Linked DNA regions of Rhinolophus ferrumequinum. The protein of the gene in region 4 purifies or fractionates together with the protein of the main gene of each other region. This does not show direct contact. Links are inferred from orthologs where the notes say so. Each region holds a gene or a part of one and is shown on either strand. Other genes may lie near its edges.

The links.
Region 1: the proteins of DIS3L (region 4) and GIGYF2 purify together in Homo sapiens (affinity purification with mass spectrometry; 3 studies listed by BioGRID and IntAct, with this or other methods). This does not show direct contact. The link is inferred for Rhinolophus ferrumequinum from reciprocal best matches to the Homo sapiens genes DIS3L and GIGYF2.
Region 2: the proteins of DIS3L (region 4) and EXOSC7 purify together in Homo sapiens (affinity purification with mass spectrometry; 3 studies listed by BioGRID and IntAct, counting the BioPlex papers as one, with this or other methods). This does not show direct contact. The link is inferred for Rhinolophus ferrumequinum from reciprocal best matches to the Homo sapiens genes DIS3L and EXOSC7.
Region 3: the proteins of DIS3L (region 4) and HBS1L purify together in Homo sapiens (affinity purification with mass spectrometry; 5 studies listed by BioGRID and IntAct, with this or other methods). This does not show direct contact. The link is inferred for Rhinolophus ferrumequinum from reciprocal best matches to the Homo sapiens genes DIS3L and HBS1L.

The regions. Positions count from the first base shown.
Region 1 is NC_046291.1:6,113,536-6,121,299, forward strand, and holds the start of GIGYF2 (GRB10-interacting GYF protein 2), read right to left. Parts: upstream 3,004-7,764; 5' UTR 2,913-3,003; intron 1-2,912. UniProt on the Homo sapiens protein: Key component of the 4EHP-GYF2 complex, a multiprotein complex that acts as a repressor of translation initiation. In the 4EHP-GYF2 complex, acts as a factor that bridges EIF4E2 to ZFP36/TTP, linking translation repression with mRNA decay.
Region 2 is NC_046300.1:9,960,870-9,968,435, reverse strand, and holds the start of EXOSC7 (exosome complex component RRP42), read left to right. Parts: upstream 1-4,566; 5' UTR 4,567-4,594; coding exon 4,595-4,651; intron 4,652-7,566. UniProt on the Homo sapiens protein: Non-catalytic component of the RNA exosome complex which has 3'->5' exoribonuclease activity and participates in a multitude of cellular RNA processing and degradation events.
Region 3 is NC_046286.1:81,623,753-81,631,503, reverse strand, and holds the start of HBS1L (HBS1-like protein), read left to right. Parts: upstream 1-4,739; 5' UTR 4,740-4,923; coding exon 4,924-4,966; intron 4,967-7,751. UniProt on the Homo sapiens protein: GTPase component of the Pelota-HBS1L complex, a complex that recognizes stalled ribosomes and triggers the No-Go Decay (NGD) pathway.
Region 4 is NC_046289.1:44,648,086-44,655,848, reverse strand, and holds the start of DIS3L (DIS3-like exonuclease 1), read left to right. Parts: upstream 1-4,753; 5' UTR 4,754-4,855; coding exon 4,856-4,994; exon of another isoform or gene 4,995-6,320; intron 6,321-6,346; coding exon 6,347-6,500; intron 6,501-7,763. UniProt on the Homo sapiens protein: Catalytic component of the RNA exosome complex which has 3'->5' exoribonuclease activity and participates in a multitude of cellular RNA processing and degradation events.

The DNA.
Region 1 (7,764 bases), on a different chromosome or scaffold from region 4:
TGCAGGCAACCATATGACAAATTATTTTTCATATATGCAACTCACAAGTAAAAGCATTTCAAAAGCAAAATATTAAATTCCTACGGTAAATTAACATGAAAGAGGACATTTATGAAAGCTCAATAATAAGAATATGGAGATAAGCTGGAAGGAAATCAGAAAAAAATGTTCTTTCAATGAGAAAGTCTACTGAGTATCAAATTAATTGGAGAACTAGTCTGAAAGGTAAAAGTGGAGGAATGAAAAACTCAGCACAAAAAGTTCTACGCATGTACCGTTTCCCCCAAAATTAGACCAAGCCGGACAGTCAGCTGTGTCTTTTGGAGCAAAAATTCATATAAGACCCAGTATCATATTATATTATACCCAGTCTTATATTACAGTAAAATAAGACAGGATCTTATATGAATTTTTGCTCCAAAAGACACATTAGAGCTGAATGTCCAACTAAGTCTTACTTTCGGGGAAACGGTAAAATGCTATAAAACATATACATAGTAGTGGAAAAGTCCCTGAAGAATTTAAAACGAGGCTGGACAGCACAGAAATAATTTAAAGGAATTCTTTACTAACCACATTAAGGACAACACGAGTTAACACATTGATTTCATTTTTCTTCCAGGTTATATCCCTTAATGACCTGAGTCTAAACTTCAAAGGAAAATCATTTGCCTGCATTTTCAAATATTCTGTGGTATCTCAAAGATCCCCTTCTTAGACAGCAATTCTTTTTTTAAGATCCCTTTAGGCAGTTGATCATCAATCTCATGTGAAAACTATTTCACGACAACTTCCTGATATATGTTCTATGAGCATCTTGAATTTTTCCAAATTGGGGGGACAGGGGGGGTCATGTGGAGGGAGGGGGTGGGGCACACTGGCCCAAATTTCCAGAATCTGATGTCTGATTCCCCTAAGAGTCACAGAGATGTGGGAAAAGATTCCAGGACACTGAATAAACCCCTCTCATCTTAGTACCAATGAACTGGGTACACATTTCCGACCACCCTACCTGTCACTTGTGCCTCTCTGGCTAGAGCCACACCAGATCTGCTCCCACTTCAGTTCCTGCCTCAGGGTTTTTGCCCTCACTTCTGTAGCTTAGAGCATTCCTCCTCCACAGAACTACCGGAATAGTTCCTTTACCTGTATCAGGGCTTTTCTCAAATATTAGCTTTTCCATGAGACCTTCCCAGGACACTCTCCTTAAAATTAACCCCTCCCCCAACTCCCTAGTATCCCATCTCCCTGTCTCATGTTTTTTCACATCACTTACCACTAACTATATATTTTTACCTAAGTATTTATTTGTCTAGAAATGAGCTCCATGGAGACAGGAATTTTTGGTCTGTTTTGCTCCCAGCAACCAACAGTGCAGCCGGGTCTCAATGTTTGTCAAATAAATGAATGATGGCACATGGTCCCTTCTCCCTCTTCAGTCTCAAAAATTCTAAAATGTTTCGTCAAGTATAGAAAAGGTGTGAAGCCCTTTCTTTTCTAGTGAATCACTACCATCACCAGTGTATTCCTCAGTGTTAAATATCAAAGGAAGCATTGTGTGACATTTTTCCAGATACGTGCCACTTAAAATTTTTTTTCTAGTGTCCTCAACTGATGTCAACATCTGATGTAACAGAAAAGTACACATTCCAGTTTGAGCACTCTGAAAGCTGCTACACTAATGAGTAAAACACATAAAAACATCAATGAATGACAGAATGCATTTATGTTCTAACCAAAATGGACAAACTCTGTAAGGTCAGAGCTGTCAATTATTAGAATGATGAGAGTTAACGTACAGATAGGATGACAAGAAAAAAATGTTTTTAATCTAGGAGTCTGAAAAAGAAACACTACATGAGTCAAGATTCTCTTCCCTGCACCAACACTGGGCACCAAAACTGCTTATAACCCAAGGTATACAACATGGGTAAGAAGTTGTTCACAAGTTCTGGCCCCTTCCTCAATTTCTTGCAACTTAAATTGGAATACTTACCTTTCTCACAGAGACAAGAGGTGTGCTTAAGTGCTTTGACTTTCAGGGAAAGGAAGCATTAAAAAAAAACACACAAAACACGGTGCTAGATAAATGCAACACAATATTATTGCTTCCCAATCACGGTCACACAATCTGCTCCACTCTTATGCCCTTCTCTGGTCGCCTGATTTATGCTTCAGCCACAAAACTGAAGTATTCAGAATGCTGACAATTAAGGCTAATGCCCATTTTAACCCGAGGTGAACATTCGGGTACCAAAGATGCCACAGGCTCTACTTTCCCAACCTCTGTCCCAGGTTCCGAGCATGGCTCCACCTTGCCTCAGGCCTGGTCCAGACCCCGTCCTCTCGCCACGGAAGGAGTCTTCCCAGCGCCAACGCTCGGTGAGGAAGAGAAGGGTGCACCTCCCAGAGGCCAGGTGTGGGGAGGCGGGCCGGCCAGCGCAGCTGTCCGGCCGCAGCAGCTGTTACCCCGGGCAGCCCGCGGCTAGGAGGGTGGCTGGCCCCGAGGGGCAGGTAGCGGAAGGCGAGCCCTCTGGCCCTCAGCGAGCCGGCCTGACACTGCCCCCCTCACCAACATCTTCCCTTTCTCGGCTCCCCACCGCGATGCCAACGGGCCCCGGCGGAGGGGGCACCTCGGCTCCGAGGACGGGATGCGCCCGGGCCCGGCGTGCCCCCCGCCGGGGAGGAGGCTCTCTCCGGCCCCGCACCTGACCTGTCCCCTCGCCTGACGCCCGAGCCGGCCGCGGCCGCTGCCGGGGCGGCCTGTGGGTGTCCATGCGCCTGGGCAAGGTCCGCCGGAGCGGCGGGGACGCGAGCGCGGGCGGCAGGCCCCGGCGGCCCGAGGCGTGGGGCGGCGGAGCCAGGGCGCGGAGCAGAGCCCGGCAGGGGAGCGAGACGGAGTCGCTGGTTACCTGCGGTCCGGGACAGGGAGTCTCTCAGAACCCAAGTCAGTCCTCAGCCTCAACAACACAAGATGGCCGACACGTCGCCACGCACGTCACGTGACAGCGCGCTCGCTCCGCCACGCCCCCTGCTCCGCCCTCGCCTCGCCTCGCCTCGCCTCCCTCCCGGCTCATCCAACCTCCCACGACATCCTTCCTTTCCGCTGCCTCCCGCCCTTCTTCCCCGACACTCCCCTGCCGGAGCCCCGGATGTCGAACTGGAGGAGGCGGGGCAGCGCCTGGACGCAGTCGCCTGCGGGTTGCTGGGCCGGGGCTTCCTACCTGCCCTTGGGTTGAGTAGAGTTGGTGTCCAGGTTTGGACCCGTGCCTGGCACCCTGTGACTCACCGGCCTGTGCGCCCAATCCAGAACCTGTTTGCAGTTCAAAAAGTTCTGCATCACTTAAGAGTCGATATTCCAAACTAGAACTTTTCCACAGATTTTCATCCATCATTTTCCTGCCCGCTTGCCATCATAGAGAAAATGGGGAAGCGAGAAGCGCCAAAATTCAAAGCAGTTTCTCTACATATTAACGGTTCTGGTAAAACTGGGAATTCATTCTAGAGTCTTGGAATGTGACAGCTGGAAAGGACTTTGGAGCTCTGACCCCCTCTTACTGCATCCAGGGTTAGGACCCTTTTGCTTTAAAATCTCCCATTTGGCGGTTGCCAGCTAAAATACAGAATGCCCAGCGATATTGGAAACAAATTTACACTAAAGAAGTATTTATTGTTTTTCTGAAATTCATATTTAATTTGGCGTCCTGTATTTTTGTCACATCTGGCAACTCTGCCCTTCTCAGGTCATCCAATTCTTGTGCCTACAGCCTCTTCCCTTTTTACAGGATCCTTCCCATCAGCTTTTACAAATACTAAAAAGGTTCTTCTGTTTTAAAAGTTAATGTTAAAAACTCCAATTCCTCCTCTAAACACTTCCCTACCTCTCTGTTCCCTTTCAAAGCCAAACTGCACAAAAAAAAAAAAAAAGTTGTTTGTAAGCACTTTTCCAATTTCCACACCCGGCAAGCAATCATCAACCATTCCATTGTGGTCGGTATCCTGACCCATCCACCTACCGCTTTGTCTAAGGACAACTCCACCTACAGGTTGATAATGAGTTTTCCAGTCCTCATCCCGACTTAGTGCTTTATCTGTCTTTTTTTGTTGTTGTTTTTGGTTTTTTGTTGTTTTTTTAAAGATTTTTTTTATTGGGGAAGGGGAACAGGACTTTATTGGGGAACAGTGTGTACTTCCAGGACTTTTTTTTTCCAAGTCAAGTTGTTGTCCTTTCAGTCTTAGTTGCAGGGGGCGCAGCCCACCATCCCTTGGGGGAGTCCAACCGGCAACCTTGTGGTTGACAGCCCGGGCTCCAACCAGCTGGGTCATCCGGGAGCTCAGCTGCAGCTCAGCTCAAAGTGCCATGTTTAATCTTAGTTGTGGGGGGCAGACCCCACTATCCCTTGCCGGAGTCGAACCGGCAGCCTTGTGGTTGAGAGCCCGCGCTCCAACCAACTGAGCCATCTGGCCACCCGGGAGCTAAGTGGCAGCTCATTGACTTCATTCTAGTTGCGGAGGGCACAGCTCGCTGGCCCATGTGGGAATCGAACAGGCAGGCCCGTTGCCCAGAGCTCGCGCCCTAACCAACTGAGCCACCATCCACATGAGTTCTGCAACTTTTGACAAACATATACAGGTGTGTGTAACAACCAATAAAAACAAGGTACAGAATAGTCCCATTACCCACAAAAGTTCCCCCAATGATCCTTTGTAGTCAGCAATAACCCCCACTCCCAGCCTCTGAAACCACTGTTCTGTTTTCTGTCCTTTAGTTTTACCTTCTGATGTCATATAAACAAAACCATAGAGTATGGTTTTGAGACTGGCTTATTTCACTTAGCAATGCATTTGAGAGTCAGTCATACTCTTGCATATTTATTGCTAAGTAGTATTTCCTGGGATGTATGCACTATATTTGTTTATCCATTCCCCAGTTGAGGAACATTTGGGTTGTTTCCAGTTTAGGAAGATTATTAATAAAGCTGCTAAAAATATTCACATGCAGGTATTTGTGTGAAGATTGGTTTTTATTTCACTCCGGTAAATACCTAGGAATGGGATTGCTGTTTATGTGGTGCTTGTTTAAGTTTATCAGAAACTGCCAAACTATTTTTCAGAGTGCTTCAGCCATATTTTTAGCCCTAAACTATAAGCTCCCAGAGAGAAGAACTGAATCTAAGGGATGATGGTGATGATGGTGATGGTGATGGTGATGGTGATTAAAGGTGATAACATCCCATGCTTTGAACCATTACACATGCTGCATTATTTGACTTTGCATCCTCAGCAGCTGGCATTGTCTTGGCACAAAGTACACATTCAATAAATACCGATAGAATCAAATAAATCCTTGATCATCTACTCCTCAGGAAGGGTGTTTTCCTCTTTCCTTTTAATTCGCTGTCTCTCTAATGTTTCATTAAACAGTGGTTTTTAAAATTATAACAGTAGCTTGATGCCTGCCCTAGTCAGAGATGATAATAAAGTTTCAGCTCAGTGTCATTGATAGAAACACAGATGTTGAAAATGAGACATTATCAGGGAGAGAGGGGAGCAAGGAGTTTAACCTGAAATGAGTTTAATTTGTAATAAACACAGGTGATCAACCATGAGAGGTGGTATTTTTCTAAAGATGGCAGCAACAATATCTTCCATCCAACATACTCCTCTAGAACCTTGGCATTACCCTGTCTAGAGGTAGAGTCTACTTGCCCTCCCCTCTGGCCCTTATAACCGATAGAACGCGGTGGCAGTAAACGAGGTGACTTTCAATGCTAGATCATAAAAGTGATAGAGCTTCCTCGTTTGCTCTTCTGAAGCAAGAGCTGCCATATAGTAAATCTAAATAGCCTGATTCTGCCATTCTGTGAGGAAGCCCAGACCACAGGGAGAGACCCATGTAGTTACCCCTGTCAACAGTCCTAACTGAAGTCCCAGCATCAACAACCAGACACGTGAGTGGAAAAGACCACCAGATGATTCCAGCCCCTGCTGTCAGTCACGCCCAGGTGTCCAAGCCCACGACAGCATGAAGCAGGGACAAGCATCCTCACTGTGCCTTGTGTGAATTCCTGATCCACCAAATCTATGAGCATAATAAAACAGTTGTTTCAAGCCACTCCGTTTTGGGGTAGTTTGTTACACAGCAATAGTGACTGCAACATCACCATTATGGATCTTACTGTGTCCTTCTAATAAGATATGCTGGCCTCCTCACCTCAGGATATACCCAAGAATGTAACCTTATTTGGAGAGAGGGTCTTTAAGAGGTAATCAAGCTAACATGAGGTCATTAGGGTAGGTTGTAATTCAGTATGATTGGTGTCCTTATAAAAAAGGGGAATTTGGACCCAGAGCGAAAACTCCATGTGAAGAGGAAGGCAGAGAATCAGGTGACACTTCTGCACCCCAAGGAAAGCCAAAGATGGCCAGCAAACTATAGAGGCTAAGACAGAGCCTGGAACAGATTCTCCCTCCCACGCCTCCAAAGGAATCAACCCTGCCCACGCCTTGATCTCTGGCTTCTATTCTCCAGAACTGTGAGGCAATAAATTTCAGTTGGGAATACTGGGAATACAGAAGCCCTAGCAAATTACTACAATCATCTAAAGGTCTGTAGAGGCCATTTGAAATGAAGGAGATTAGAGGGGTTCAGAGCTACAGATCTGAGAGTCATAGAGAGGAGATCTTTGAAATCATGGGGAATCACCCATCACCAGCAACTCCTGAGAAGAAAAGTATGATGAAGGAAGGCTCTTGGGAGGAAAGGTGTAGCTGGTGGACAGAAAAGTTACAGGTAGGACCAGATTAGAAGCAGGAGCCAGTCTCAGAACAGAAGGAGGAAAATATTGATTGGCGATGTCAAATCTGCAGCGTTATCAAGGAGTCTGGGACTAGGGAGAAGGCCATGGAATTAATGACTGGAAGTGTCCATGGCACAGGGAGAACAGAGGGTTAGGGAAAAATGAGTGCTGAGGAAGAAAGGGTGCAAAAATTTGAAAGTGAATGAAAAAGCAGGACAGATTTGTTAGTGGAGAAACCAGCGCCACTCAGATTTGTACCCTAACTAAGAGAGAGGACTGATGTGTCCTGAGCACTAAATATATGCCAGGCATGGAATCTGCCAGGTAGGCAATCATCATCCCCATTGGACAGGTGAGGAAACTGAGGCTTAGTGAGGCTAAGTTAACTAGCCTAGTATCTGACTCCAAATCCCATTACATCATGGGATGTAGAACTGATTTGTTTGTTCTCAGGGCAGAGGCAGAACTGATTCGTTTGTTTTCCCTATTGCTCAATCAAAGGAGGGCCTCTCGGAGTGGACTCATCACTTTTCCGGAGAGAATGAGGTCCCCACAATCTCTGCCGTCCTCACTTGCAGAGCTGTCCCCTCAGGCTAGGCTCCCATCTGAGACAGGGTGCTTAGAAAGTCACTCAGTCAGTGGAAGTGGTCTTCCCTTGCCTGTCTCTGTCTGCTCCAACAAACCTGGGATGTCCTTGTGAAACAAACATGCAAGGGATCCCTGCCACATGCGGGACAGTGTGCTAGTCCTATAGCAGTGGGTTAGGCAGAGTTCATGCCCTTGAAAGAGTTCATAGTCCAAAAGAGGAGGAAGGGAAGTAAAAAGAAGGATGCTACATAATGCCGTAAGGAGTACAGTAGAGAAAAACTCAGGGCAAAATGGGAACCCAGAGAAAGGGCATCTCTAGTCTGGGAGGATCAAGAAAGCTTCCTGAAGATAATCACTGAGCTGAGTCATAAACAAG
Region 2 (7,566 bases), on a different chromosome or scaffold from region 4:
AATTTTTTTTTCAGAGTGGAAAAAGCACTATCAAAATGCATCACATGTTACCAAGTGGTGAAAGAGAGAAGCCTTTTAAAAGCCAAAGTTAAACATGACCATTTTTCAATGTTTAAATATTTGCATATCCAGGATCTATTCTGACTTTTACAACCTGGTAAGATATGCATTTGAGGATAAAATGAGGCGTAGAGAGGTTAACTGACTTGCTCAAAGTCACAAAGCCAGTGTGTGGCGAAGTCCAGATCACTGGAATAAATGTCCAGTAGTCTTTCCACCATAGATCCTTATCTTCCCAACCAACCTGCCTTTCTAGATTCCCTGCTACTATTTCTTGGCTTAGAAATGCTCACTTTGTACATAACCAAGTTGAAACTTACTGCAACGGGACTGTACTTATCCCATTAGGCTCATTTTCCTAAGATGAAAAATCGATCCCACCCAAAGGCATTCCATTCCCACTGATCCTAACTCATTTCTCGGTAGCCCAGAAAATCCAGAGTTCAATCGCCAAGCCTCTACATACCAGGAAGGTTACAGTTTGTAGGAGATTGAAAAGATGGTGTTTTCCTGGCATTTCCTGGATGAGTGACTGAATTAGGTGGGACATGCAACTGTAGTCTTCTCACCTTCACGGTTCACAGCACCTTCAGAGCCAGGAATGACCCAGCCATTTGTCTCTGGAAATCTGCTTCCAAAGAGGAAGGCAAATAAAAAAATGCAAAAACAGGAAGAAAGTAGAGTCCACATGGGATTAACCATTTTTTCCCCCCAACAGATCAATATTCATACATCACTCCTCTATTTCTACTTCGGATTCTGTTGCTTTCTATGGCTGTGCTCTCAGGGTGTGTATGTGTCTTTAAATATTTCCAGATTTGCTCATTTGGAAACATGAGCCCCTTTTCTCACACATGCCCTAACGAAAGACATGGGAAGCACCCAGCCACTCACTCAAAATGAAACACACGTGAAGACCCTTCCTCTAAATGAGAATAAACTTTACCCATGTATTCATATCAATTTTTCTATCACTGTAATCACAAGTTATAATGTGTAGAGCAGCAAGACAGATACAGCCCTGCTGGCCAGACTGTGACAGGTTATAATGAAAATTCTTTAAGACAAGAAACAGGCAGGACAAATGCAAAGTGTTTAAAGGAAACAGATCTGTAGGGAAAACAGCAGCTCACTTTTGCTTTTCTGAGGTGCGAGGCTAATTGTGAAAATGCAAAGGAAAAGGCCTAAAACTTGGCTCCCTCTGTTTAAAGATTGGGAATAAAATGTTCGTTCCTCGGGCTTTTAGGAGCTCTCTGCAACTTCAGCACCACGGACGCAGCACGGCATCGAAGCTCTTCTGTCACCGGCTTTTACTGCTTTAATGAAGCAAGGCTGGGTGGGACAGATGGACTCCATCTCTGTAAGGTTCTCGTTGCCCGCTAGTGGCTCGCAGCAGCTCTTCACCTCTTGCCCTTGGTGCCTGGCATGCACAATTAGCACCTTATTATTGGCTGGCCTCTTGTCTAATTATCATGTGTCTCAATCGAGCAATATTTTATTGTCTTGTTCATGCACTAGCTCAAAGTGCCTGGGCTCCCCGGCTATAATAAATCCTAAACCCCTTTTAGGCAGGTGTGTGTTTTCAGTTTCTTATTACTTCAGGCCCTCGAGAACACAAGCGACTCTCGGGCACACAAACAAGTACTTCCTGATTGTTTGAAGAGCTCCTAGGTGTCTGTTGTGGGTGTAAGGCACGTGGTTGGAATCTGGGTCTCCATGCCATCTCCGTACCAGATCCATCGGCCTTCTCTGCCGTTGAGGGCTGTCCTCAGCTCCTCTAAGCTCCATCAGCCTGTATTTAACTGTTTCCCTTATCCAAAGGGGTTAGACATAGGAATTTCCCATTAGCACCACGTTCTATATTAGCTGTGCAGGGATTGGAGCTAGATTACCTGGTCTCAAATCCTGGCTCTGCCAGTTACGTGACCTGTGGCCTTGGTCAAGACAAGTAACTTCTCTGCACCTCAGTTTCCCAATCTGTAAAATAGGGATAATAGTATCTGTCTCGTAGAACTATTGTGAGGACTGAATCAGTCAATCTTTGTCAAGTGCTTGGTACATAATAAGCACTATGTAAGTTAGAGTTAAATAAAATTAATAGGGTGCAGAGGTTTAGAATAGACAGACCTACAAAACAGTATGCGCCCTAGAGAATCTGACAGTGATGGAAAAACAAGCTGGTTTAACAGAATAACGTGCCATCCTTGGCTTTTGGATTTTCTGGCTAACATACATTCTTTGAATGGCTTCAATAAACCAAAAAGGAACTCTGAATTTATGGGTTTTAAAAATGTCTAATGTATTATCACAACAAATGGGATAAAAATGTTCTGGCCGCACTGAAGTAGAACGATCAGTGAAGGTATCGTTGTTTTAGTAGAGAATGTAAAATGAATATTCTACTATTTATACCTCTCACACCTACTTAGCCTGTTAAGTCAGACATCATTCATAATATTACTTAGCAAATACTGCCAACCCTTCTCCAGCAAGGAACCTTTAGTCAGTTGTCGGGGGAACAGTTCAGATAGAGCTTTTATATTTTTTAAGACATACTGATTTTATATTGAGATGATTCCATGGTATCCAAACTCAGACTTTCCTTTCTGTGTCTTTTCTGATCTGTCCATTTGCTGCCACTTTTTAAATCCTTAATCCTCTTAGATATTCCAGCTACTAAAATTCCATGTCCAGGGTCTCTCTTTTCTGAGCAATCTCTACCACAAAATCCTGTTTTAACATCAGCATCCTCTGTTACCACAGAGTTCCTCACATGGGATCCAGGTGTCAAACCACACAGAAAAACGTCTATTGCCACAACAGATGGGGCACCTGTGTTTTCATTAGGGAGGAAATCCTTCCGGCTTCACCCTTCCGTTTCCCTGGAGGGCAAAGTCCAACCCTGCAATATGTCTTCCCTGTAGGTGCACCTGTAAAGAACTACGTAGAGACATAAGAAATAACTAATGTCTAGTCTACTAAGAAGTGATCATCTATTTTAGGAGCTTAGCAGTTTAGTGCTTAAGAAGGTGGACAGGTATTTCCTTTCTGCACCTTCCTCTGGCCCACCTCCCTGTCCCACTGTGCTCACTGGTGCCACCGTCATAGCTCTTAACCACCATGTTCTGTGATTATGGTGGCCCTGGAGCCTTCCCTTCTGCCTGGGGAGCTTCTCCGGGCAGACGTCGTGTTTCACTGGCCTTAGTGTTCCAAGCTAGCCCAAAGCCCACCCACAGCAAGATCCCAATAGTCATTTGGGAAACTATATTGAAGACAGTATCTGGGAAACACCGGTCGTTCTTTGGATGACCAAGCCATCAAGGGTTACTTTCACTTTTGAGAACAGGGAGGTTCCCCAAATACGGGACGTTTAGAAAAGTCATCAGATCCCCTCTTTGCTTCCATCACTTTCGGTTAACTTTCCTCCGTTTATCCACATGGCTCTGTTAAAATCTGTGCCATACCCTGTCTGCCCCGCCTTGCTGGGGCTCCTTCAGTGACCCCATGTCCACCTTGCAGGTATCCTTTCTGGACATTGGAGGCCGAGACTCCTACTCGGCCAGCACCTGGGCTTCCGCCCCGCCTCCCCGTCCCCTCCCGCCCCCAGCAGCTGTCCACAGCTCCCAGAAATCACCCCATCGAGTCAAGGCTTCCAGCCACCACTGAGAAGCGCTGGGGACGCCTGGGCACTGCGCCCCTCGCCAGCGCCGGTTACCAGGACTCTCCCTCCTACTCTCTTTGGGATCATACTCCGGCGACCACCCGGGGCAAGGGGATCCTGAAAGGTCCTGGGTCAGCGTTCGGTGAGAGAGAGAGAAAGAGAGAAATGGGGGGAGGGGGAATCCGTGGGGTGGACTGAGGACGCCTCGGGACTAGTGGGCATTCATTCCTGGCCCGGAACCTTTCCACCGAGAAGCTAAAAAGGGCTTCATCGCCTCTTCTTTTCAACCATCCTAGGGACCAGGAAAATGCAGGACCGGGCGGTGGGGGTAGGGAGACCGAGACAGCCCCCGGTCTGTAGGGGAGACAATCACCAAGTCCGCTTCCCCTCACTCCGGTGTCTCTCTCTCACACACACGCACACGACCTGCTACTTCCACTCCAGCTCTGAGCAATCTGCGTCGCGCGCCTCTCCCACTACGAGTCCTCCGGCTTCGGCCCCGGCCCCGCGCCTCTCACCTCACCCCAGCTTTTCCAACCAACTCCAGTTCCGCCTCCCAACTGACCGTGAAGTCGGAGGCAGTTCCCCAGTCCCAGGCCCCTAACGTGGCTCCCGCCGCGGCCTCCCCCTGCAGTCCTCGACCCGGGCCCCGGCTTCGGGCTGCAGCGATGGCTCCCCGGCACGAGGCCCCGCGGCTCCCTGGACTCTGCCAGACACGCGGCAGCGCGCAGGAGAAGCCCATGGAGCTCCCGGCAGTGGCAGCAGCGGCGGCTGCAGGAGCGGCCGCCGCGCAGGCTGATGACGCACAGGAGCGGGAGGCGCGGCCCGCGCGGGGGCGACGCGGGCTGATGACGTCAGGGCCGGCTCGGCAGCATGGCGTCCGTGACGCTGAGCGAGGCGGAGAAGGTGTACATCGTGCACGGCATCCAGGTAGCTCCAGCACGGCGCCGGCGTGGGCCGCCGGGTGTTCCTGGCCCCGCGGGTCGCGGGCGGCCCTCGTTCACCCGGGAGGAGCGGCCGCGCCGCGGCGGGTCTGCGTTTACCTTGGGATTAAACCGCTCTGCGGCCGGCAGCGTGGGCGATTTAGGAGCGGGCGGCGAGCGTCCGTGCAGGGCTGGGTGCGTGCTCGCAGCCTCCCGGGTCTCCGGTTCCGAACCCGGGTAGGAAGCGGTGCGCCCGGTCCCGGAGGCCTTTTCGTAGCGAAGGAGCGCGGCCCCAGGGCCCTCCCTTCAGCCTTCGCGAGCCGCTTCACTGTCGCGGTGGCTTCTGGCCGCCTTTCCTCGCCTCGTGGTTGGGAGTCACAGCGAGAGAGAAGGCACCCGAGGTGGAAGCGCTTTGGGAATATAAATCGCCTTACAAATAAAGGAAGGGTGTTTAAAAAGTGGCTCCACAGGCAGCAGCATAATTTTTGCTGTTGGCCATTTTGTCTCTGGAGAACTAAGGTCCCTAGAGGCAGCTGTAACTACACTGAGCTCTTCTGTGCTCAGCCTTCAATCCCTGGTTTGGACCACCACGGAACCCGAGCCTGGTAATTAGCTACCGAGGAAAGCCAAGGGCGTCCTTCTTGTCTGTAACCTGCCCAGGTTAGAAACGTCTCCCAAAAGTCTCCCCAGAGCCTAGGCAGAATCCTGTTCTTGCCTGGATTGACCTGAGCATTTTGTGTTTTACTTTTCACTTTTGGTTTATTATGGTTACTTTCATCTCGTCTGGCGTTCCTTTTACATCAGTCTTCGATTCCTTTATTACTCCTAAGATGAGGAAAAGCAGTGGCATATAAGGTGTGTGTATCAACGGGGTGCTGTAGTCCGTGGACGCCAAACGCGCTCAAGCACAGTGGAGACTACTGCGCTGGAGCCTTCCCCACGGAGGTGGGATTACTCTCCTAAATCCACGTCAAGTGCTTCCTCTGTGTATCCTCAGGACTCAGTATTTAACTCATTCAACGGAGCTAGACTCGAGGGGTAGGAAGTAGCCTGCCCTTCTATAGCTCTCATGCTAGAATGAACAGACAGAAATGACTTCTGTTTATTTGTGTGTTTATATATAAAATTATACTGAGGGCTGTGAAGGGAAAAAACGAAAAACAAGAAACCTGCCTCGTCTGGCAGGTCAGGGGAGGCTAAGGAAATTGCTTGATCAAGAGTTAAGTAGGCTTGAGCCTTCCAGAAGGAAAGGATGGTGACTCCACTCGTGCTGAGGGTAATGGTGGAAGATCAGGTTACAGAGGTAACCAGAAGCCTGATCCTAGGGATCTTAGAGGCTCAGCCACTCCCTCATCATGGATCTTGGAAGGTCATTATTGACCTGTCTGTATGATACCCTTAAGGCCTAGCCGGTGTCCAGCACTTAGTAGGTACTCAGTAACATTAAACAGTAACGTAGGCCTTAAAGGGGCGATGAGTTGGACAGGGTTTTCATTTTTTAAATCAAACCTCTCTCTCACCAGTCACCAGGACCATGGACACATTAGGGCCACAACTATTAGTAAATGTTCAGTTCTGTGTATCACAGAACCATGTAGACTAACTGACGAAATAAAACTCTTCGTAAGGATTGTTAATATTGGCCACAAATTTGCCGTGTTTGTGGAGGAGCAAAACAGAATTTACACCATTTGAATCAAGGTCAGAATGCAGGTGAGTGAGCCTGCCATGGGATCTCCACTGACTCAGTTCTAAAATCACCTACACTGTGGTTAAGTTGGTCACCGAGTGCCAGCAGAGTGCCGTAAGTCTAGCTGGAATCCTGTTCCTGCCCCTGTAGACCTAATCATTTTGTGTTTTACTTTTCACCTTTGGTCCTGTTTGGTTTTAGCTTCTGGCTCCCTTTCCCTCAGCCTTTGATTCCATTACTATTTCAGGGATATTTTATCTTATTTTGGTGGTGGTTAGAAGCAGTTGAAATTAACCTCACCATGTGTGTTGAGGATTCAGTTGCTAGTTATGTTAACCAACAAACTGGCTCAAGCCAAAAAAAAGTACGTATGAGAAGGCTATAAGTGTTTCTCCAGGAATTCATGGGCAGTTGGATCTTCAGGCTTTCGCTTGCCCATCTCTGCTGCTTTTTATGCCTTTGTTTTATTCTCCTCACTCTTCAGTTGGCTTTCTGTTTCTTGGGCCATGTGGTAGAGAGACTGTGGTTATCTCTCAGCTCTTGGGGTTACAGTTTCCTTGTATAAGAAAGCAGCCCTTCTAGTTCAGTTCCAGACTCGTCTATGGACAGAATGGTTAGGCCCAAACATGGCCACTGAGGGATGAGGCCACTTGAGAGAGAGAGAGAGAGAGCGCAATTAGTGGACAGGAGGATGAATCATTTTATGTTCTGGCAGAAGATGGAACCCAATTCAGATAACTCAGGGGACTTTCATAACCACATGGGTGCATTTCAGGGAACCAAGAAGAAATGTGGAAGAGCCCAACGTCTAGTGACCACAGGGAGTAGCTACGACTTCTAGGCCAAAGGGGCCAAAAAGAAGCAAAGAGTAAAAGAATATCTGTAGTAGGCTGCCCTTTATGTAAGAAGGGGATATAAAAAATATTCGTGTATCTGCTCATTTGTGCAAAGGAAAAAGAGGAACCAGGTTACCTACCTGGTGTGGGTGGGAAAGGGGGAGGAAGAAGAGGGGACATGAAAATAGGGATAAGGGGGAGAGTGACATTCCTCTGAGCACACCTTTTCTGAAAGTTTTGACTCTTAGAGCCGTGGTGAAAGTCCACACATCCAAAAAGTAAATAAGTAATTAAAAGTAACGAGGTAATTAAAAGTAACCGGACAAGTGAGTAACAGAGCCACCCTGAGGATGGGGACAGACAACTGGAAAACAGTGTTTTGTGTGGATCACTTGG
Region 3 (7,751 bases), on a different chromosome or scaffold from region 4:
ATTGGATGATCACATGTGTGGATCTGTTTTTGAACTCTCCATAGTATTTCAATGTTATATTTCTCTATCCTTTGTATCAGGATCAGATTGTTTAACTTACTATTGCATCAAAATAAATCTTAATGATAACGTAAGTTCTCCAACTTGATTCTGTTTTGATATTATCTTAGCTATTCTAGGATCTTTGCTGCTCTGTTTAAATTACATAACCTGTCAATTTCCACCAAAAAACTGCTAGGATTTGATTAGGATAACATTGGATACAGATTAAATTGGGAGGAATAGACGTCTCTCTCATTTAATGTAATAATAGTGACTCTTCCAATCCATAAACATGGCATATGTCTCTATTTAATGTGAATTTTTTTATTTTGCTCAGCAATGTTTTCTAATTTCAGTTTAGGCCTAACATATCTTTTATGATATTTATCCTAGATATTTGGTAACATTTTATATGCTAACATAGGTACCTTATTTTTAATTTTTATTTTCCAACTGTTTGCTCCTGTTATATACAAGTACAGTTTTCTGTGTATTTATGGCACTAATTAACTTATTAATTTTAATAGTTTAATTGTATATTTTATCTTAAAATTAAAAAATATTATTTACAATAGAATAAAAAAATATGAGATAATTAGAATTAAATCATCAGTGCAAAACCAGTCACTGAAAACTAGAAAACATTATTGATAGGAATTAAAGAAAATATATAAATGGAGAGACATATAATGTGCATGTGCTGAAACATTGCATGTTTGTAGCAATGTTAAAATGTTAATTTCCCCCCAAATGATCTACAGATTCAATAAAATAACAAACTTCCAGCAGGAATAATTGTAGTAATTAATAACTTCATTTTAATATTTACATGGAAATTATAAGGACCTAAAATAGCTAAAAGAATTTGAAAAAGAACAAAATTGGAGGATTGGCACTACCTCATTTCACGATTTATGAAGCTACAATAATGACAGCATGGTACTGGTGTCAAGCTAGTTCAGTAAATCAGTAGATCAGTGAAACAGAATGGAGAGTCCAGAAACAGACCATATAAATACGGACAACTAATTTTTGATAAAGATAAAGATGCAATTCAGTGGAGAAAGGACTTTTTTTCAACAACGGTGCCGGAACACTTGAATATACATATGTAAAAATAAACTTTGACTTAAACCTTGCACCATATACAAAAATCAACTGAAAAGGGATAATAAAACTCTAAATTTAGAGCTCAACACTGTAAAACTTATTTTAAAAAAATAGAAGAAAATTTTTGTGACCTTGGGTTAGGCAAAGATTTCTTAGATACAAAATCAATGGCACAATCCATTACAAGAAATTGATAAATTGGACTTCATCAAAACTGAAAACTTGAAGGACACTATTAAAAAATGAAAAGACCTGTTATAAACTGGGAAAAATATTTCCAAATTATATTTCTGATGAAGCAATTGTGTCTAGGATATAAAAATGTCAAAAATAAGGAAACAAATACCTCATTAAAAAGTGACAAACAGATTCAGAGACTTCACCAAAGGGGATATAGAAATGTCAAATAAACACAATATCTTTAGACCATACCATGGGATGGTGAGTATGTGGAGAAAATGTAACTACACTGATGGTGGGAACACCAAATGTTCCTACCACTTGGGAAAACTGTTTGACAGTTTCTTAAAAAGCTGAACATAACCTATCATTTCATTCAGCCATTCTGCTCCTAGGTATTTACCTATGAGAAATCAAAGCTTATTTCCATACAAAAAGTTGTACATGAATAATTATAGCAGCCTTATTTGGTCTAGCCAACATCTATCCATAGGTGAATGGAAGACCAAATTGTGGTGTATCTATACAATAGAATTCCCCTCTGCAATAAAAAGGACTGAACTATTGATTCAAGCACCTACATGAATAAATATCAAAAATATTAGCTGAGTGAATGAAGCCAGTTAAAAAGATACATATTATATTATTTCCTCTATATAAAATTTTAGAAAATACAAACTAATCTATAGTGACAGAAAGGAGATCAGTTGTTGGCAGGGGCCAGGATGACGAGACAGTGAGAGGCAGAAGGAGAGATTATAAAGGTACTTGAGGAATCTTGGGAGTCTGGATATGTTCATTATCATGATTGGGTTGATGGTTTCACTAGTGAATGCACATGTCAAAACATTTCAAATTGTATGATTTAAGTATGTGCAGTTTATTGTTTGTCAATGATTCCTCAATAAATGTGTTAAAATTTTTTTAGTAATGTAGTTATGCTACTTTCATTTATAATTTTTACAAAAATAGACATAATTATTTGTATAGTCACTTATGGCATTTGTTAAATAGCTCATATCTAAAGACAGTATTTTTTAATTCAGTAATTCATCCAGCAAACATTCAAAGTTCCAGACATTAGGGTTCTGGAGAAACACAGGTAAAGCTTTCTAATAAATGTGGTAGAGAACTAGCATTTATTGAGCACTGAAAGATTTCAGAGCATGTCACCCCAAGATAACATATTGATTATTTTGAGCCAAAGGAACCTGAGTTACAGCAGATATGAGAAGGGCTATCTTACCTACCCTTTTCTATCTAAAGCAGATCACAAATTTCCCATGAGAAAGGTGCCCTCCCTCTACTAGAAGGAAAGAACATCCTTCTCATCAGAGACTGGAACTTGATGTTGAAATGGATCTGTACAAACTTACTGAAATAACAATTATCTTCCACTAGTTTCGCACACCACCCCCCCCACACACCATATATCTCCTAGTTACTTCCTTACAATACTTCCCATTGTTTTGTCAATTCTTCACATTTATTTCTTTGTCTAAAAGGTACAAGAGCATTCTGCTCTGGTCATTTCTTCAGGTCTTCATTCTCTTGTGAAAGTTCTCATATATCAGTAAATATTTAAACTTGTATGTTTTTTGTCCTGTTAACCTGCCTTATGTCAATTTAATTCTTAGACCCAGTCAGAGACCTAAAGTAGGTAGACAATTTTTCCTCCCTTACAGTACCTATTTTGTAACAGTTACTGTATTTACAACCATCACTTCATTTACTTTTCACAAAAGAGAAGACATAACTTCTTGTATCCATTTTACAGATGAAGAAATTGAGTCCAAAGAAGTTAACATACAGGAAGTGGCAGAACTGGTACTGAAATCCAGGTTTGTGTAATTCTAAGTCATGGTACTTTTCATCCAACCACAACACAAAACTTATAATCCCATCTAAAGAGCTCTGGGAGAATAAAATCCTTAAAACTTTCTATGGAAATCAGTGAATGCTTTGCCACTGAGGCCTTATTGTTTGAGTCATAATCAAGACTCTCAAGTATTTAGAATTTTAAGGGAGTGCATTATTGATGACTCAGAAGCAAATTACATATTAGCTCTCAGGCAGAAGTAATGTTTTCTTCTTCATTGCTCCTGTAGTTCTGTTTATGTGGTCAGTTTGTAACTCATCTATTTTATACCTCAGTGAGTTATACTGAAGCTTGTAACTGACAATTACAGTGAGCTGGAAGTTGCCATTGGTGTTTTAACAATATCTAAAATTTTAAAGCACCTACTAATATTTGTGTGAAATCCTCTTACATAGATAATTATTCACAGCTTTACGAATTAGATACTATTACTAAATTACTGACAAACAGATTGCAGCATAAAAATTGTCGTGAAGTGTAAAAGGAAACATTTAAGCCATATAAAATTAGCAACTATCTATTTTTGTGTGTAAGTTTGTCTTGGAGCTACATTAAGCAGCAATGATAGTTAAGAACAAACATTTGTTAGATGCATTCAGGTGCACGTATAAACTATATTTCAAGTCACTTACAAATATGAATTGAATTTGTATTATTATTTCTATTGTGGATAATAAAAAGCTGAGTAAGCTTTTCATTCATTTCTAGAATTTGATATTTACTCTTAAGTAAAGTATCACCATTTCAAATACACAAGCTAAAACTGAAGTGTAGTTTGTTCAGTATGAGGTTGTTTTTTTACATAGTTTGTTACATAGGTTGTTTTCACTTTGTTTTCTAAGAAATAAGGACATGTAACAGTAGCTTATAGATTTATTCATCAACAACAATTATCATTAGCACATAAGTGGCATGATGTGCTATGACTAAAAAGCTTTAATACTCAGCATGTTACACACCATTATGTATTAAACGAATGCTCAATGAATCCTTTTTTATGATGTTAATAATAATTTATATCGCCAAGGGCAGATAGTTGTTTACTAGAGGTATCTATGCAGGACCCATATACATGAAACCATGAATTACACGAAAGCATGGTGACCTATTGTAGTAGATGCTCAGTTTAACCATATGGTTAAAACTATATATTTAAAAAGAATAGTTTTTCCTCTCCAAAGCTTGGACTAATTCTTAAAGCAAATGTACACAAGTTTGTTAATGCTTACTACGGACCTAAGTAGGCCGCAAAGATGAAAGTTGGATAAGACAAGGCCTTGGCTCTTATTCAGCACACAATTAGCTTTTTCACTAGATTATCAGACACCAAATTTGGAAAATATTTTGGAACGCAGGCGTAGGTCAAGGATACCAGCTCCTAACATTTGGTCCAAATCAACAAATTGGAAGCAGTGGAGTTCCGCCTCTTTGGAACTCCCGTCAGTCAACCTGCCAGCAGGTGAGGGCACGCTAAAACGCAATCCCCGGCCCATAGGTACGAGTGCGCATGCGTTCCTAGGGATTCGATTGACCCTGAGAGGTTGCCGTAGCTCAGTGCACAGACAAGGCGTTGCGTGTGCGCAGGCGCTCAGCGCGGAGTACTGCCGGAAACCAAGATGGCGTATAGGTGTTGTCCAGGCCGCAGTTGGCGCCTTATCAGTATCTGAGCGGGTGTTTTGTAAGGGACTGTGGCGAATGCCTTCTTCGCCGCCATGGCCCGGCATCGGAATGTTCGAGGCTATAACTATGATGAAGGTAAGTGACATGCGTATGCCGGACTGTCATTTTTCTCTGTTCCAGCCGGGATCCCAGCTTATTGGCATCCACTTCGATTTGTGAGTTCCTCGACAGTGGTGCCAGGCTGGAATTCCGAGGAGACTTAGTTGGAAAAACTAATAGGACATTTGAGTGCCAGAGAATTGTGCTGTTTTTATGTCATGACCTCTGGGATTGTTACATAGGGCGGGGTTGGTGCTTTACGGTGTCATATGGGAAGGACATTTGGCGAGGCTGTGATCCGCTGGTATTTATACACGTAATCATTGTCTCCTCTCCTTCTTCATTATTTCCTCCGTGGAGAAATACACACTTGCCTACTTTTACCTCTGTTTCCCGCCACCTCCCATTCAAAGTGCCCATGAAACGCCGCTTATTTGTAAAATACGGATTTATTTAATGGTTACAATCAACTGTTTTGCTGTAGCTGTGTGAAATTTACATGGTAAATATTTTGTTTGTTCATACATATTTAGTGCAGAATGTGGCTTGAGCTAACTTTAATTTATTTTCTATGAGTTTCAAGTTAAATTGGAAATTTAGAAGGGGGAAGAAAAGATACATATTAAAAAGGCCCAAAGAGTCCATTAGATAATCTTATGTGTCTATTCAATTCTTGGTTGATAATCTCAATGTAAATGTATTTTGGAATGGAAAAAAAAAGCAGTATTAGAAGAAAGAGGGCTTCGAAAATGACTGAACTGATTTTAAAAAATGTAATAAAAGAAAGAAATTGTATATGAATGTTCTCCAGGAGTTTAAAAGAAGTTAGAGTTAGTCTCTGTGTAGGGGATAATTATAGGCATCGCCAAGCATCATACAAACTAAAATTATAAACAAATACGATCCAGTGCAGAAGAGGAATGAAGACCTATTGCTCTGTAAAATGCAGAGCATGTAGGGTGTTTAATACGTTGGTGGTTATTATTGGCACTCCCAGCAGATTATTGGAGAACATGCGGATGCTCTAACCATAGTTGAGGGTAGCTAACACCTTTGGAGACTGGAATCCAGTCAGCCTGGCATATGTTAGGTTCCTGGTGTTCACTTTAGAATGGAGTCTGTTTTAAAGTATTGCAGTGGACGTAAGGATTGCATTTGGACCATGGTGACCTAAGAAGGGATGTTAGCTTGGGAGATAGTTTTGCAGATATGATAAAAAAGACATGACTAGGTCTAATTACTGCTTATTCATTTCTTTAATAAATATAATTTCCTCAAGCAACATTAATTGAGTGCTTATTCTTCATGAATTGAATGCTTAGAATACTGTTCTAAGTTTTGGGGATGGGTAGTAAGATGTTTGAGGGAGTCTGCAAGGGGAAGGTACACAAGCAGCCCATTTACCGTATGAGATGCTACATAAAGTACAGTGGCCTATAAGCTCTGTGAGAACACCTTATTCAGAATGGGTTGGAGGAGTTTGAGTAGGATTTCTAAGTGAAGGAAAGCTTCCTAGAGAAGTTCTTGGCCTGAGGAAGTGAGTGAGGGCTAAATATCTTCTCACCTTGGCAACCCCCGGTTAGGTTATTATGTTTCTTTGGAACAATTGATGATGTCATAACTAAGCTATTCCTATAGCATTGGAGACTCATCCCTTTTCCTGCTTACAAAAGTTCCACTCACTTTCAGGGTCCAGTTTATTTTTCTTCCCAGTGAAGCTTTTCCTTGTACTCTTAGAATAATAAATTAAAAATTCTCAAAACTAATAGAACTTCATTAGAGAGAGTTTGTGCTGCAAAACCTATTGGTACTTTTAACTCTCACTTCGTTCTTCTTTGTGATTTGAATAGCACTTTACATGACTGCCTTAGCTACTAATTTAAAAGTACCAGGAAGGCAAAGTCCATACTTTATATTTATTCTAGTAGCCAGCACGATGCTTACATGCAGGGAATTCTCCCAAAATTTTGTTGAGGTAAAGAACCACTTTACAAAAATCCCAGAAAAGAATTCTCTTTATCTTTTTATATTGTGGTACTTTTAGGGTCAATTTCAGTATTGAAAAACTGACCTAGTAAAGATTCTTCGTGTCTTTTATATCTAAAAATACATTTTTGTGAATGGCTCCTCATTTATTTGCTAATAAGTTATGAACTTGGGAGTGTTATCTAACTTATTGAATGTTACACATTTTAATCCAATAGTAGCATTTATTTAATTTTTCTTTGCCATAAACATTTGGTCTCAGCCTTTGAACATGTTGTTCCTGCTGTATGAATACCCTCAGAAAGTAGCTAACTTTCCTTTGGAATTGGTTAAATATTGTATTTCTGGGATCTTTCCCTAGCAACCCGAATACCACTTCTATTTTTGTTGTACATGTATGTTCCCAAATAGCCCTGTATTTCTCATGTGAAACACTTGTCATATGGTTTTGTAAGTGTTCGTTTCTTGTCTGTGTTCCCTGTTAGATTTTAAGTTGTAGAGATACGGCAATGTGCCTGTCACTCACTGTTGTACTCCAAACGTTTCTAATAGTCCCTGGCCTAGTGTTGGTGTTTGTCAAATGAATAAATGATATATGGAGATATATTTATGTTCTTTGTGGGTTTTTCGTTTTAAATTGATTGACTCATTAACTTATAATAAAACAAGAATTAGTTTAGTGCCAAACATGCACCAGGTAGTTGGCTAGATAGATAGTCTTGCTCTGAAAGAGCTTGTAGTCTCAGGGAATGAAACACATATAGTGCTTCGAAGACATTCGGTGGGAGGAGTGTGCTAGAGAGTAAAAATGGCAGTGGGGCTTGCTGTTTTTTAC
Region 4 (7,763 bases):
ACTTATATTCCACTAGTAGTAATAATCCTACAAGATGAATGAAAATTTAATTTCATCAAATAACATCAATACAGAAAAAATTAAATGATAAATAGTAATCTTTCTATTTTTGAATTATAAATGGCTATTCATATAACTGAATTGTCTACTAGTCTTATTCTTAAGGATTTTCTAGTCTTATTCTTAAGACTTAAAGGATTTTCTTTTTCTTTTTTGTATTAATCAATGAAGCTTAGTTTCTAAGTAATTTTGGAGCATCTGAACCTTTGAGTTCTTTGAATTAATGTATTGTTTAATACAAAGGTTTTTTGTTTGCTTGTTTGTTTTGTCTCAAATAATTGGATGCATTTTAAAGGTAGTATGTAAAAGGCCACATTTCAGCTACGCAGATACTAGCACAGAAGGGAAGCAGACTTACCCCCCAACCAAAAAAAAAAGAAAAGAAAAGAAAAACAATGAACAGCGCCTCTTAGTGGTAAAAGGGAAAAATTATTGGTAAATTACAATAAAAATCTGGCGGAGATACAAACTGGTTAAGTACAAAATAATTTTCAGAAAGAGTTAAGCAGAACACTTTAGAGTAATCATTGCAAAGTGGATTATGGGGATTCACAGGGTGTTTAGAAAGCCAAAAGGGAGCTATTGTATCTGCTGGGAAAAGTGAAAATCAAGGATTAACAGCCTTTAACATATAGGAAATTAAATTATCCCTAATACAAGTAGCAAAATAATCTCAGCAGCCCTTTGTCTTCCAGTGACTCTTCCACTGAGATGGAGCACAACTGAAAGTAAGCAGATTCTTCAGATACATAGGATCATTTTATCCATTTACATGACCCTTTAGAATCACTGACTCGTTAACACAGCCAGCAACATCTGTCAAATTAGCTGTATTTTATAGTGGAAATCACTGAGGCTCAGGAAATTTAAAAAGTAGTAGCAGTCAATATTTGAATGGCATTGTTTCCAGATCCCTAACCCTAAAATAACTGGGTTCATCCATGGTCCATTGAATGGACTGTACCCCCATTCTGTAACCATCTACGAGCTGAAAGGTGCAATAGCTGAGTCATTACTGCCTGGGCTCTGCAGTCAAACCGCCTGCGGTCCAAATCTGGCTTTGCCATACATTCAGTGCGTGGCCTGTGTCTCAATCCTTCTGTACTTGTTTTCTCACCTGTGAAATGTAGTTGGTAACAGTATCACAGTCAAGGCATTGTTTTGAGGATAAGAAAACACAAGAAAAGTGCTTAGGGCAATGACTAGCACCTGTAAATCTTGACAAACATTAGCTGTAATTAGCTGATACTGCATAGATTGACAAGCCCTTTGAAAAGCTGCAAATTTGGGGTTATATTTAATGACATCTAAGATGCATCCAGCTTCAACAATGGTAAATTACTTGGGAGTAGATTTCGGATGCAAGGTGAACTTCAACGTTTTTACTCGGCATACTTCAGTATTGTTGGAATTTGTTGCAACAAGCATGTTGTGCTATTGTAATTTTAAATAGATAAATCAAAAGACAGACTATTTCAAAGCCTACTTCAGTAATCCACTCTAGCCCTTGGAGCTCATCTTCCAGAATTCCTTTTATACATTTAACCTTCTTGTCCTCTTAGCCCTTTGTAAAGATGCCCTACCCTCTCTAGGCTAACCTTTTGATGAGACTATTTGATTGTAATCCAGTGGTTGCTGATGTCTGCATTCACAGAGCACATCTGCAAAAGGCATGCAAATGCTACAGACTCCTGCAATGTAAGCACGCTGGTGCTCAGCCTTAAGAGGACCGCAGTCATGCACCAGGGAAACCGAGCCACCATTGAGATTTCCATCAGCAAGAGAGTGCTGAAAGCTGTCGCAGCATTCTGCTATCTGGGAACCAGGCTGTCCATCTGCACTTGACAAGAAAAGGGAAACATGAAAATTGAAGCAAGCCGCCAAGCATCCTTCCCAGTGTGGCACTGCTGTGGCACCGTAGCACAAACCAAACCAGAGTACCTAAGACCACTGCTGCTCTCCCACTTCCTAAAGGACTGTACAATTTAGAACTGCTGTAGAATCCTTGAGCAGCTTCATTTCTTCAAGACATACAATATCTAGTGAGGGATCTTTTTGAACAAATGAGTAACTCTTCAGCCTTTAATCTCCTTTGTAAAGTGGATGTGTATTAGCTAGGATAATTCTAAGCTGCTATAACAAAAGTTGCTATCTCCCTTACAATAATCCTGTGACGCTCCTGGGTGAGGGAGGCAGGGCTCTGCACAGTTCTTCTGGGACCCATGTTGATGGTGGCGGAAAAGGGTCTGCTGTCTTCAGCACTGGCTTTCAAGATCCCCTGGGCTTTTGGCATCTAGCTGGTGGAGGAAAGAGGTTTTCATGGGTCAGTCCTGGAAATGGTGTCATTACATTCTGTGGCCACTATATGCATGAGAAATGTGGTTCATCTGTGTACCCAGAGAAGAGGACATGGATTTGGTGAACAAAGAGCCAGCCTCTGCCACAAAAACCCACATACTTACCTTGAAGGATTGCAATACGGCTTAAAGATGATAGGGTGATGTATGCTTGGCTTACTGGCTATTGGGGAGGCGGGTGAGGATGTAAAAAGAGGTGAGCAGTACAATGCCCAAGAGACTGGATAGTGGGCTGAGCTGGAGTAATCCCAGACACGAGGGTTAAGGTGATGGCAGAGAAGACTTAAGGGGTGTGAGTTGGAGGCATTCAAGTAGTCACTAATGCTGCCACTCTGCCTTTGAGTGTATGGTCATGTGATTAGTTCCCACCAATAGGTAGAGGTGACATGCATCACTTTATTCCGGTCTGAGCTATTAATTGCTGGGGTAAGGCTGTCTAAAGGGCTTTTTTCCCTCTGCCAAAGAATAGCAAACAGTATTCCAGAGAGGACTGTCTCCATCAGCCTTAGTCCTGGACTACAATACAGAGTGGAGCCTCTAGGCACCCACATATCTTGTTTCAAGTCACTGGGGTTTTTGAAGTAGTATATTACTGCAGCATAACCTAGTTTATTCTGACTGATTTAGAAATCTTTTTTGCAGGCAAGATGCATCAGATGGTCAGTGAACAAACAAACCAACAAAAAGGCATTCTTGTCCATTTTAGACCATCAGTTCCAAGAACTAAGGGATCATGCTTTTAAGAACATAAATTGTACACCATTGTCTCAATGCAAGCAAAAGAAGTGCTTGATGAGCCTTGGATTATTTTAAATACTGATAAAAATCAACTTTCAATACAGCGCCAGACACACTCTCCTCCTTAAAAGATCATTAGTCTGAATCTAGAGAAAGTTTAAAGCTACAAAATGCCAAAGAGAGATGTTAAGGATATAAAATCAGAAGTAAAAGAAAAATGAAAATGGGAGAGCTTTGGAGGGAACTGTGGGCAGCTGTCAGAAGCATTTTTATGTGGGGGACAAATGTGGCTACTTGCCTGTCCTCTGGAATCTCTAGAACTGACTTCCTGAATCAGAAAGGGCCTCCTGCAATGCTGGTTGCTTTATGGGGCCTCCCAGGGCTCTGGTCTGTGAACCAGCACTGTAATGTTTTCCTAACTTGTGCAATTCCATCTCAGATCTCACTCCCATTATCCAACACTGCAGATAACTTGACATAAAAATACAAGTAAGGAACCACGACTCTTTTTAATATGTCCCCCTAGAGTAAAAGTAAGTGATCCGACACAACACCCTAGTTCTGCTCACTTCGGCATAATAGGAAGCTCCCATGTTCCAGCCAGATGGTTGAGCTGCCTGAACTAGAGCTCAACAAGCTGACTATAAACTCCTCAGCTACAAGAGTTATATTTTATTCATCGATGAATAGCACGGTAATTAGTTAAGAGCCTACTTCGGATTCAGCCAGATTCTGGCTTGAATATTGATTTCCCCACTTAATAGTTGGGTAACTTTGGCCACTTAACCTCCCTAATCCTGTTTCATCGCCTGTAAAATGGGGATAATAATGCCCAACTCCACTGACTTGTGGAAATTAAATGTGACACTCGTATATAAAGCTTCTGGTGCGGCTCAAAAGTCTTTGTTGAGAGCTGGGAAGAACACTGGCCTCTTTCCAGCCAAGGGTGTGTGATCTCAGAGGAGACTGTGTGTGAGCCTCCACCAAATTTCAAGGAAAATTCCTTTGCCAAAAGCTGCAGTGTTATGAAGTTAGGGTTAAATAGACAGTGTTTACCTTAAGGGAATGAATTGGTTTTCATTCTCTCTGCATTGTTTGAATTTTTATATGGATTAAAAATACATGAAATTAAAAATAAATACAACTTTCCGAAGAGAAAAAATGTTGGGCTGGAAGGGTTGCGGGCTTATTTGCCCAATCGTTTAGCTCTTTCAGGGACAGTAAGAGCAACGAACAGAGAACACTAATTACCATATTAATATGGCTGCCCATTCCCATATGGACCGGGGGTAGAAACAAAGTATAATAATTCTCTATAGTTGCGCCAAATCTTTCTTCACAAGACTTTAAACTAGCTTCCATATAGTCTCTTATCTCCGATGAAATCTTTTGCCCCTCGCATCCCTACCCCCAGGCAATTGTGGAGAGGGGAGAAACTGAGGCAGGGTGGGGGAAGCCGGCCAGGGCCGGGCAGGACCACCCCTCCCGCGGGCCACCTCCAGCCCTCAACCCCGGGCACTTTCCGGCGGCTGCCGGGAGAGCCGCGAGCCGCGCGAGGACCAGGCCCGCCCGGCCGAGGGGGCGGGCCCGAAGCCGCGGCCTCGCCTCCCTCCCGCGCCGCGCGGCGCTCACTGCTTTCCCGCCGCCGCTCCGGACGGCCTCGCGGGCCCCGGAGCCCTGCCTGGCCGAGCGCCGCCACCATGCTGCAGAAGCGGGAGAAGGTGCTGCTTCTGAAGACCTTCCAGGGCCGGACGCTGCGCATCGTGCGAGAGCATTACCTGCGGCCCAGCGTGCCCTGCAACAGTCCGCTCTGCTCGCAGCCCACCGTCTGCCTCAACGGTCAGGGCCCGGGCGGGAGCGAGGGCGGCCGGGGCGGGAACGAGAGCAGGCCAGGCCGGGCGAGAACAAGGAGACCCGAGGCCGGTCGCGAGGGGAGCCAGGCCGGCAGGAGCGAGGGCGGCGGGCCGGGGGTCGTGTGCCCTTTGAGGCCGCGGAGGCACCGAGTCCGAGGCCCCGGGCCTCTCACCGCCCCCTGGCGTCACCTTCGTTACGCTGCGGGTTGGGAGCGAGAGGCGGCGGCCCCAGAGCCGCAGAGATGGCGGTGGTTGGCTGCTTCTGGAACTCTCCGTGCGGAACTCCCCGCCGGCTGCGCCCCATGAAATGGCAGGGCCCAGAGACAGGCGCCCCCCACAGCCCAGAGGCCGGGTGATTTGGGCTTATGCGAGGGGCCAGGGCGCAGGAAACTGCCCCTTCCTGTCGTGTGTGGTGAAATGGGGAGGACCTGAGCTGTTGGCCCTTCGGTGGGAGGCGGAAGGCAACCCAGTGGCATGAGCGCGGGAGACCTGCTGCTGCTGCTGCTCATTTTACATTTCTTTGCTCCCCACAAATTATCTGAGTTGCCAGCACCGATGCATCTGGCATTTATCCAAAGGATTTGTGAATTATGTGGGTCCTCATTGTACAGGAAGGTCATGGGAAAGCTGGATTGGGGACTGCTGTGCGCTAGACCTTACCCCACTTGGTTTCTAGGCTGCAAGGGTGGTCCATTGAACAAAGATTATTGGTTCTCTTCCCTCTGGGGGGAGATAAGCGTGCTGGGCCTTTTCAGCAAATATGTGGAATCCTCAGCTTGGTTGAGGGTTGATGGTTAAGGTGAACCTTTCAGTTACTGCTTGGCCGACCCACTCCATGACATGACAGGCTGCATGGAAATCTGAACAGTGCCCTTGTTTGCATTGAACAACTTTTCTGGTCAATTCTGGAGACTGCTCAGCATGTTCATAAACTTGAGACAGTACCGACTTGAAATTGCTGGGCAGAAACAAGTGGTTAACATGCATATTTTAAGGGGCCCCATTTGAATGTGCGTGTATGTCAGTAAGTTAACACAGAAATATTCAGGTTGTGCTGAGGATGTGTTGTTTGTTTTTTAAAAAATCAGTCATCCCCTGCTCCACTGGCAGCACCATAAACCACGTTGAGCCTTTATTTATCACAGCTTCAGAAAAATGAAGGTGCTGAATTTACCTGAACTTTGGGCCTCTACCAAGGTAGATTTGTCTTGTCGTTTAAAAACTTCACGGTGCAGTTAAGATTGTAAGTTATTTTGCACAGGGGGGCACCATGACATTGAAATAATAAACCAGGTTTGCAAATGTATCTAATCTTTTGCATTTCGATTTATGCTTCAGATGGGAAACTCTTGTCTAGTGATGTGACTCATTACATGATCCCAGATTGGAAAGTTGTTCAAGATTACTTTGAGATCCTTGAGTTTCCTGAATTGAAGGGAATTATATTCATGCAAACGGCTTGTCAAGCTGTGCAGCATCAAAGAGGCCGGAGGTATCCGTTTTGTATTATTTATTAATGTAGATATCCCCCGCCCTTTAGAAACGCTCCTTTGTAGGGGGAGGGGAGGAATTTATTCTTTAATCATAAAGTATTTTTTAAACTAACTTAGTATTCTCTTTGCTAGTAGGAATGCAGTAACATTATTTTATATTTCTGCTGCAACATCTGGCCAAAAGATCTGACTGCAGATCAATAAACTGCAGTGTCCCCAGTATGTGGGTATTGAAGATTCTTGGCTTTCGGTTTGCATTTTACAGCAGAGTTATTGCTTATTTCTTGTTGATATTGCATATTATTTAATCTTCTTATTTATAGATATATTGTTTCAGAAGCTTACTTTTTTTTCCCCTTGGGAAAAAGAGAGTACTTTATTTTTAAATTTTACACTCCTTTATTGTGGATACAAATTGTATTTGTAGTGATTTATTCAATGAAACCAGATATCACTTGTTTTATTTTTAGGTTACAAGTATTACTACCAACCATAGTAATTGTATTTGCTAAACAAAGGATTGTTTTGATTGAAATCAGTATAAAATGCTTACCTTGTACCTTTTAAACAAGTACTCTAAAAATTGGTTTTGTTTCATTTAACATTGGGAAAGATTTATGGTTTGAACTTGAAGACTCATGCCGTATGGAAACAACATACCGTATTAGAATTATGTATCCAAACTCTTACCACCCCAAGTTATTTAAAAAGCAGCAACTATGAGTTTATTTTTTTTTAAATCTTGTAGTTTCTTTAGACCTTGGTAGTAAAAGATGAAGTGTGTTTATTTGTATATGAAAATGATAAGTTGTCCTTATTATATGCCCAGTTCAAAAAAATGTGCATTAACTAGATTGTGCAGGTTTTTCAGATGGAATATTTTTAAATGAGCTTGAAGTTGATTTTGTTCAGACACAAAGATATAGATGTTTATACACATCCAGGTTTAAATGCTGTTCCAGGTGTCGTATTTCATTTCTGCTACTAAAATCAATTTGTTGTTATCATTCAGATCGCTAACATACTGCAGAGCCTTTTCAACTTCTGTTTTCTAAAATATTTTTAATATTAAGGATTGTTTTAAAAACCAATTCCTGGGACATTCAAAAGCAAAGAATTGAAATTTAAATGTCTTTTCTCCTGAACATTTCAAAGTAGTTAACTTGATGAAAAACTATTGGTTTTCCATTGCTTTACCATGTCTCCGAATACACTAAATGTGAAAACAAAAGATGAGGAATTATAAAATAGGCCCATATGAT